Linked DNA regions of Cricetulus griseus. The protein of the gene in region 1 interacts with the protein of each later gene in a pairwise test. Links are inferred from orthologs where the notes say so. Each region holds a gene or a part of one and is shown in the gene's direction. Other genes may lie near its edges.

Region 1 (4,283 bases):
TCAGTACTTTGTTTTGTAATGAGACCTGAACGATACAGAGCAGAGTGGAATTGTCTTTATTGATCTGAGCCTAGCCCTTCTTCTGAGCCTCATGTGTTTCATTTCATTAGAAGTATCTCGTTGATTCCTGTTCAGCTTTGTTCAGTTACACCTGTCATTTACTTTCCCAATGGCTGTCCTGTTTCTTGATTTTTCTGATCTGTCTTTGTGTATTGATGCTCTGAGTTTTCATTATAAGGTTAAATTTCACGTTAAGAGTTCAGTAGATCAATATGGCCTATGAGAGGCCTTACAGTTCGTACTTGGTCTTCCATTTTCAGCCATTCTTCCTGGCGGTGTCAGTTTTAGATGGCTGGGTAAAATGAGACACTTCAAGCGTATCTCCTGTACTTGTATTTGGTTAGCGCATTTGGGAATTGTTTGTGAATGTGTTTAGTTATGTCTTAGACTGATTTACCACTTACTCACTATTCCTTGCTGTATTCAGAGTCTGGCTACACCTTTACATTTGTTACTTAACCATTGTCGACATTTGTTTCTTCAAATTCTAATAAATGAAATCATACATGGCGTTAGCTTTCAAAACACTGGTGTGACAAAAAATAACCTGTGGAAAACAATGTAAATTATTTTAACTCACAACTTAAGAGGATTTGGCCGATATCAGCTGTATTTTCAGGTTGTCAGTTGTGGTAAGGCCTTTAACAGCCTGAAAATAACTTTGTGGAAAGGTGTGGTGGGGGTTGGGGGTTGAATACCCTAGGTCTAAGATTTTAATCCTTTCCTTGTTTGAATTTGGTTTTGTACTATTCTTTCCCCTTGCAACAGGGATGTTAACCTGTGCCTGTCCCGCTGTTGTATTGAAAGTATGTAACTTAGTTTTGATTTTTCCAGAGCTCATAGCTAATAGTTTGCTTTGAGTCTCAGGAGACTAGATTTGAACTTTTCAGCAATACTAGAATTGTTATTGCAGAAATTACATATCACCTTATTCAAAGAGAGGGGTGTAGAGGAATGAGTTACGCTTGGTAACTTTATACGTGCACCCACTTTCCTCCTGTAGGAGATACTCCATGAGCCCCAACACAAGTCATTTATTTGGGTTTGTTAGAATTAGTATCATTGATCATTGGTCTGCAGTTTTACCACTCAGTAGCCAATAGTAATCCTCAGCTATATTTTCTGCCTCAGTTTACCTAACTGGCGCTGTTCAGAGAACAGGGTGTGGCTAGTGCTTTGTCCTCTTGTTTCTCTTGACTGGCACTGAATTCCTGTCTTTATGATGCTACAAAGAGAAACTGACACCTAGGCCTTTGATAAGCCAGTGAGTATGATCTCCTTGCCATAAGTTTTGTTTTGTGTACTAGTGATTGTTCTACAAATTTTAGACTGTCCAGCAAACAGGAACATTGTGGAGATGTTAAAGCATTTCAAAGAATACGTAGCTCAGCCCTTTGTAGGAGTGGAAGAAGCTGAAGCTGAGGCACATTGTGATGTATACATAGCAATCTGCAGCAGAGTCAGGCTAGTAGCAACTCCGCATTGTCGTCAGGTTGTCTTTCCTGATTTAAGGGGAGACATTGGTTTTTCAGCCTATAAAATAATAAAAGATATGACAAGTAATAAACTTATAACACATGCATAAGCACATGATAGGAATCTTAATAATACCGGGATTATAAAGTGTGGTAGATGCATTTGTACAGTTCTGGTTATGTTCAAAAGTAATTGTATAATTAAAATGAACCATATGAAATTTTTCTTTAAAAATAAGTGGGTGTATGGAGAATTTACTCTAATTTGAATATGTAAGATCAGTCTCTAATTTTGTTGTTGTTCTTTCATTCTCTTTCAGAAAGATGAGGTCTACCTTAATCTGGTGCTGGACTATGTTCCGGAAACAGTGTATAGAGTTGCCAGACACTATAGTCGAGCCAAACAGACACTCCCTGTGATCTATGTCAAGGTGTGTAACAATGGAACGACTTCCAGTTTACCAAACATTTAATATGAACCACGCAGAGTATTGGGTTTGTTTCAACTTGTCAACACTGCTTTTACTCCTCAGAGAAGCAGCAAACTCTAGATTTTGTTAGTTCTGACTTGATTTTGAAACATAGAGTTCCCTTTAAAGCCTTCATTACTCTGCAGTGGATAAAGGTGCTTGCTGTGCAAGCCTGGTCATTTGAGTTCTATGGGACGTACATACAGGTAGAAGAGAACCAACTCTATAGAGCCCTCTAAACCTCCACATGCATGCCAGGTTTTATGTGCCCCACCTCAGACACATCATGTTGGCACACACATGCACATGAGATAAGTGAATTGAAATGGATATTCTGATAAGATGCAGTTAAACTTTCATGGTTAGGGGTTTTAATTGTGATAGCCATAACACCTTGTGTGTGGGGTGCAGGGTGAGGCACAAGTGAAGACCAGAGGAGGAGGATGTGCTCCCTTCCCCATAGCCTCCCACCTTTGCCTTGAGAAGGCCTCTTACATAAGCTTATGACTTGGGCTGGTCTGAACCTCCCTCCCCATGCAGTGCTGGGGTAACAGCCAAGTGCAACTAGTCCCACCTTTTTACACAGGTGCCAGAAATCCAAACTGAGGTTTTCGTGTGTGTGCAGCAAATACTCTAACCCAGTGAGACATCTCCCAGCCCCATAACATCATTTTAGTTTTAGATGTCTTCATTGTGCCACACACCAAAGCAGGAACCTACTAGGTAAATTTACAGTTATTAATATACTTATTTAATGCTTTATTACCATTTGTAGACACTTATTACATTCATTGTACAAATTTAAACTTGTCAGTTTTAAACACAAGCCTTAGGATGGTACCCAGCACAGTGTTGGTTGTTTTTGGTGCTGTTGTTCTTTTGCTCATTGTAGTGCAGGAAGCCTTTCAACTTTCTTCATAAAAGTACATTTTTATAAAGTAGACCAAAGGCCCCCCCCCCAAAAAAAGATGCAGTCTCATTTCATTCTTAAACTTTACTTTTCCAAGACAAATGAAAAGAACAGTGATGAGATATCTTTAAATGAATCTTAAACTGCTAAGGACATCTTTTGTAAGAAAATGTCTTTCACCGAGTTTTGTTAATCTAAATATTAATACCCTGAAACAGCTAAATCTTTCCTTTGATGCCCATGAACTCTCTTGGTTATAGATCATTTGGTTGGAGATAATGAATTCAGCTACCAGAGTAAGCTTTGGAACTTAAAACTTGATTCTGTAAATGAACAATGATACAATAATAGTTACAAAGCCTTTAAAAAGATTAATAGGTATCTAAATGCTTTACTTCTGATTTAATTAGAAAATGTTGACATTGAAGATCTTAGGTATACATTTTTGTCATGCTTCATTTTGAAGAAGGCTCTAACTTGCATAGCTTGATTTCAGATTCACATTAAACATGTACTGTTAACATGTCCAGCCTTAGCAGTTTCATTATGCTTCTAAAGAAAAGTGGCTTTCCTGTGAACTTCAATAATGCCAGTCCCCAACAATATATCCAGAAAAGACAGGGTCTTTTGTCAGTACCTCAGCTGACCTTTAATCTTTTTATTGGCTTTTTGTTGTTTTGTTTTTGTTTTTTGAGACAGGGTTTCTCTGTGTAGCTTTGAAGGCTGTCCTGGAACTCACCCTGTAGACCAGGCTGGCCTCAAACTCACAGAGATCCGCCTGCCTCTGCCTCCTGAGTGCTGGGATTAAGGATGTACACCACCATTGTCTGGCTGTTCATTTTTTTTTTTTTTCCTTAGTCAGACACTGTGTCTTTGATTGGAATCATTGCAGCAATTGTTTCCATGGTGTTAATCAGGGAGTAGAGCTCAGAAAGTGAGCATGTAGAAAAAATTTAAAATGAATCTGGTTGAGTGTAGTGGTACATATCTATAATCTTAGCAATTTGGAGTAAGACAAAAGAATGACAGGATCAAGACCAGCTTGTATACAACAGGAGTAGTATGTCCTGGAAGAGATTAAAAATGAATAAATCAATAACTAAGAAATAAGTAAACAAATAATAAGTAAATAAATAAATAAGGAAGAAAGGAAGTAACGAAGGGAAAGAGTCACAACACTGGCCTTGGAATAAATAGAATATTGAAGGTGTTACATCGGTATGTTTTCTTAAAGTTTTAAGGGTATTTCTCTGGTTGCTCTGACAAAATTCCAGACAAAGGCAACTCAATGAAGGAAAGGTTTATTTTGGCCTAATAGTTCTGGAGGATAGGGTGCATCGAGGTAGGGAAAGCAAGGTGAGAGAACAT
Region 2 (4,816 bases), on another chromosome or scaffold:
ACCTGGGGATCAGACAGACTGCTTTTGCCATTGGTATCAGGAGAGGTGTCCAGATGTACAAAGTCTCTTGCTGCTGTTCAGAGAAAGGGTAAGTAAAATGAAGGGCAGAGGGCCTCCTGATCCCAAGGTTTTTATGATCCCAAGCCAGCCTTGTTACACACACCTGGAGTCACAAACTCATACACTTTATGAGGATCAAAAGGGTCCTTGCTCTTGTCATCAGCTAATCGCAACACTTCTTTCCGGTTCAGGGCTGACCGGAAGTTCCTCTTCCAGGTTGACAGGTCTGGCTTATCCTTTCCTGGGGTGTAGGCACCACTGGCTTCGGCCCAGGCCTGACAAACCAGTGATTCCAGAATAGGAGGGGAAACGACTTAGACTCTGCCTTTAGGTCCTGACACCTCCCACCATGTTCCATCTTGTGGTTTGAGACTGGGCCCCTACACCTTCCATCCTCATCTTTATCTACTATTTCCTGCACCAAAAGAAATCCTTTTTAACCTGGCAGTGGTGGCGCATGCCTTTAATCCTCAGCATTTGGGAGGCAGAGGCAGGCAGATCTCTGTGAGTTGGAGACCAGCCTGGTCTACAAGAGCTAATTCCAGGACAGCCTCCAAAGCCACAGAGAAACCCTGTCTTGAAAAACAAAATCCTTTTTGGTTTTGAAACAGGGTTTCTTACACAGCTGAACTCCTGCTGATGCCTCCAGAGTGCTAGGATTACAAACTGTGCCACCTTCTCAGCCTTCAAGCCTTTTTTTTTTTTTTTGTTGGGGGGCGGTTTGAGACAGGGTTTTTCTGTATTGCTTTGGAGGCTGTCTTGGAACTAGCTCTTGTAGACCAGGCTGGCTTCAAACTCACAGAGATCTGCCTGCCTGCCTCCCGAGTGCTGGGATTAAAGGTGTGTATCACCAACGCCCGGCTCCAGTCTCTCATTCTATTACTACCTCTAGTCCATGCTATGTCAATGACTCCATCCATAAGGCATTCTCAGACCTTAAGATTTAAGGGTTCTAAAATCAAGAGCCCACCCCCAAAGATCTCCCATCCTCTGCAGCTGTAATTATCAACCTTCTTAATACTGCAGCCTTTTAATACAGTTCCTGCTGTAGTGACCCCAACCATAAAATGATTGTCGTTACTACTTAATAACTGTAGTTTGCTACTGTTATGAATCGTAATATAAATATCTGATCTGGCCGGGTGTTGGTGGTGCACGCCTTTAATCCCAACACTCGGGAGGCAGAGGCAGGCGGATCTCTGTGAGTTCGAGACCAGCCTGGTCTACAAGAGCTAGTTCCAGGACAGCCTCCAAAGCCACAGAGAAACCCTGTCTCGAAAACCCAAAAAAAAAAAAAAAAAAAATCTGATCTGAGACCCTCAAGTTGAGAAACACTGCTATAGCCGGTCCTTAAGCAATCCAAACTTAATTTCCGGGTTATAGTCTTGTAATCTGCTGATCCGTTCCTGTCTATCCCTCCCAGTCCTACCCACCTTCATTAGCAAGACCCCGCCCCTGCCTAGCCACGCCCAGGAACGCCTCTCCAAAGTCTTCCAAAGTCTTTCAAAGTCTTTGGCCCCCAGCACCTGGAAGATGCCAAAGTCAGCCATCTGGGCGTCCTGCCGCAGGCCATGCTTCCAGGGGATCCGGAACCGAGTGCGGCTCTCATCCAGCCAGGCCACGCCTTTCAGCTGCCCCAGGTCCAGCTGCGACACCAGCCAGGGCAAGATCCGCGGTTTCGGGGTTCCCATGCTCGGGCCTGCGCACACAGGGCAGTTCCTAAAGCCTGCGTGTCAAGGGGCAAACGCACTGAAACCTCCTTGACCCGTCACGGCGCAAATCTTTCACTCATGCTTTCGTGGGGGCACAAACGGAAAAGCCCTTCCGCCCTTTCATAGCCAGTGGGGCCGTCTTCGGTAGAAACTCTGTACCTACCCATCAGTTCCTTCTCTGTTAGCCAAAGCAGGTACCCCGCTTCTAGGGTGGAGCCCTCTTTCCCTAGTCTTTCCAAGACTGACTGCTCCCTCACCCACAGTTCCCTTGCACCGAAAACCCTGGCTTATTTCCAGAGTATTCTCTCAAGTGCAGTCGCCTGTTTCCAGGCTTCTTCTATTTTGATTTTTCTATATTCTTTTTATGGATGCTTTGAGACAGGGTCTTAGTACGTAGCATAGGCTGGTCTTCAACTGCAACCCAAACTGGCCTGGGACTCTCTGTGTGGCCCAAGCTGGCCTCGGATTCCACTGTAAACAAAGGTAGCCTCAAACTTATCCAGGAGCCCAGGCTAGTCTGCAGCTCATCCTGAGGTCCAGACTGGCCTTGAATTTCCAGCAGTATCGCTACCTTCAGCCCGAGTGCTGAGAGACTGCAGGCCTGCGTCTTCATCGCGCGGCCCTTTGGTTCTCGGTAGCCGAGCTCCTGAGGCCGCCACCCTCCCGATTCTTCCGCGTTACCTACCGGGGAGGAATCGCGCGCTCGTGGGGCGCCGGGGCCAACACTGGCTTCAGGGCTCCCAGTGGTTCTGAGTCTCGCAGCCACGCACCCTTCCCCTCCTGTCAGCTAAGCCTCCGAGCGCTGGGACTGTCTTTTCTAACGATATTTTGGGATGAAAACAATTTTCTCATAATTTGGGTAAGAAACGCAAAAGCCGAGAGAGCACCTCTGGGCGCCACCCAACTCTCTCAATGCCCTTTTTTGGACTTCCGCCCATAGGCATGCTGGGAACGCCATATGCAAATGAGACTGCAACACAACGCCACGCCCCTTCAACGTTGGGGCGGTTAGCAGGTCGGCCCAGTGCGCAGGCGCGGGAAAGTTGAATTTACCAAGAAAAGTTTGATGAAATTGAGTGAAACCGTGGGAGCCGGCGCCGGCGCGACTAGAGCAGAGCCCCAAACCAGGTGAGCGGGGTGCCAGGGAGGGACTAGAACAGAAAGGGAAGGGAACCAGTTGCACGAGCGGCCACAGTCAGTCCTGCCTCTCTGAGTCCGAGCACCCAGAGGCTCTGGTGCTAGCCGAAGGTAGTTGGAACTACATCTCCCAGCAGGCTGCTCGGCGAAAAAGCGGGGAAATCGGGCCAATGTGTACCGCCGAGCGTACTGGGATTGGTAGTTCTCTATCCCCTAAGGACTTAGATACCTGGATGAGTGCATCTTTCAGCATTCAGGGCTGAGAGTTCCAAACCCCATTCCCTCTCCTGGATGTAGGAGTTTAAGCACTCAGCTACCTCCTGTCTTAAACCCTTCTTTCTCCAGCCCCCTTTTCCTCCACGGAATCAACTCTGTCTCACTGACCAGCCTTCTGTCTCCCGAGTTCTGGCACCCTGTTCATTCAGGGACTCAGAAGTTTGAGCTTGTCACCACACTTGGGTTCATGCTCTGTTTTCTCCCTCAGGTGCCTCCATGGCCGGCTCTGAAGATCTGGGGCTCCGAGAGGACACACTTAGGGTTTTGGCTGCCTTCCTTAGGCGCGGTGAAGCTGCTGGGTCCCCTGTTCCAACTCCACCCAGGTGAGTGAGTGTCCATTCCCCCAGGGCCAGCTTTTGACTGGAAGGTCTTCCTGAGTCTTGGTACTGGTCCCAGCCTGTCTCCTTTCAGATCTGACCCCATATGCCTATCTCGAGTTTGAAGAGTGATCTTCCATGGGGTCACTCCGAGGTTCTTGTCCCCAGGAACCCTGCCCAAGAGGAGCCAACAGATTTCCTGAGCCGCCTCCGAAGATGTCTTCCTTGTCCCCTTGGGAGAGGAGCCCCTCCCCTGGAGTCCTCTCGGCCCTGCTTCCTTCCCCTACGCCCCTGCTATGGCTCCCAGCCTGGTAAGAGATTATCCAGATCACCTGTGAAGCTTTAATGGGTAGGAGCTTTGGTTAGGAAAATCCAGACAGTACCTGTTGCAAGGTGAACACTGCTCAGTTTTTTTTTTTTTTTTTTTTTTATTTTGGCTTGTTTTTTTTTTTATTAAATTATTAATATTTTCACATGTACTTTCCCTCTCCCTCTCCCTCCCCCACCCCCAGAACACTGCTCAGTTTTAGCACAAGCCATAACTATTCCCCTCCTCTGTTAGACTTCTTTCTAGGCATAGTCACACTTGCTGGAGCCCTCCTGCATCAGCCTACCTTATACTGGAATCACAGGCATGCATCATTAGAGCCTCAGCTTAGATTTCATTTTTGTTTTTGTTTCTTTGTTCTTGAGACAAAGAAACCCAGGGTTTCTCTGGGTATGTTTGGCTGTCCTGGAACTCATTCAGTAGACCAGGCTGGCTGAAAACTCACAGGGATCACGTGACTTTGCCTCCGAATGCTGGGATTAAAGAGCCACCACTGCCCAGATTTCTGCTTAGAATTCTACCTGTCAGTTCTGTGGTTGGCCAGTGGGGTGAGGGGTGGGGGTTGGAGGGTTGAGGGTTGTGCTCTGGTACCCGTCTTAGCTAATTACATCTTTCCTTACATAGTGCTTCCCTGGCTCTTAGGGAAGACTTCTGTGTAGCCCCAGTACCCTAGCACATAAGACAGGAGCCATGGTTGTTAACCACAGCTCATTGGCTAGTTGGTAATCTGACTGAGCAAATTATTTCTCCTCCTTGCTCCTTGTTTTAAAGTAGCAGAGAAAGACTGTAAGAAGGGGTATTAATATTTGATTAATGATGATCAATAGCCCTGGGTGTGGGGTGCATTGCTATCATCAGCACTGGGAGACTGAGGCAGGAGGATTGCTGTGGGCTTAAGGCTAGCCTGGATTACAGAAAGCTAATGAGTCAGTAGAGTGCCTGCTTAGCAAGCAAAAAGCCCTGTATTCAGTTCCCAATAGCACATG

The links.
Region 2: the proteins of Gsk3b (region 1) and Bcl2l12 interact in a two-hybrid assay, tested with the Homo sapiens proteins (2 studies listed by BioGRID and IntAct). The link is inferred for Cricetulus griseus from reciprocal best matches to the Homo sapiens genes GSK3B and BCL2L12.

Annotation. Positions count from the first base shown.
Region 1 is NC_048597.1:51,927,394-51,931,676, reverse strand, and holds part of Gsk3b (glycogen synthase kinase-3 beta), read left to right. Parts: intron 1-1,855; coding exon 1,856-1,966; intron 1,967-4,283. UniProt on the Homo sapiens protein: Constitutively active protein kinase that acts as a negative regulator in the hormonal control of glucose homeostasis, Wnt signaling and regulation of transcription factors and microtubules, by phosphorylating and inactivating glycogen synthase (GYS1 or GYS2), EIF2B, CTNNB1/beta-catenin, APC, AXIN1, DPYSL2/CRMP2, JUN, NFATC1/NFATC, MAPT/TAU and MACF1.
Region 2 is NC_048599.1:153,882,991-153,887,806, reverse strand, and holds the start of Bcl2l12 (bcl-2-like protein 12), read left to right. Parts: upstream 1-1,786; intron 1,787-2,457; exon of another isoform or gene 2,458-2,708; intron 2,709-2,712; 5' UTR 2,713-2,900; intron 2,901-3,393; 5' UTR 3,394-3,401; coding exon 3,402-3,508; intron 3,509-3,596; exon of another isoform or gene 3,597-3,608; coding exon of another isoform or gene 3,609-3,670; coding exon 3,671-3,813; intron 3,814-4,816. Other genes in the region: Irf3 (interferon regulatory factor 3), read right to left, coding at 3-73, 164-335, 1,494-1,751.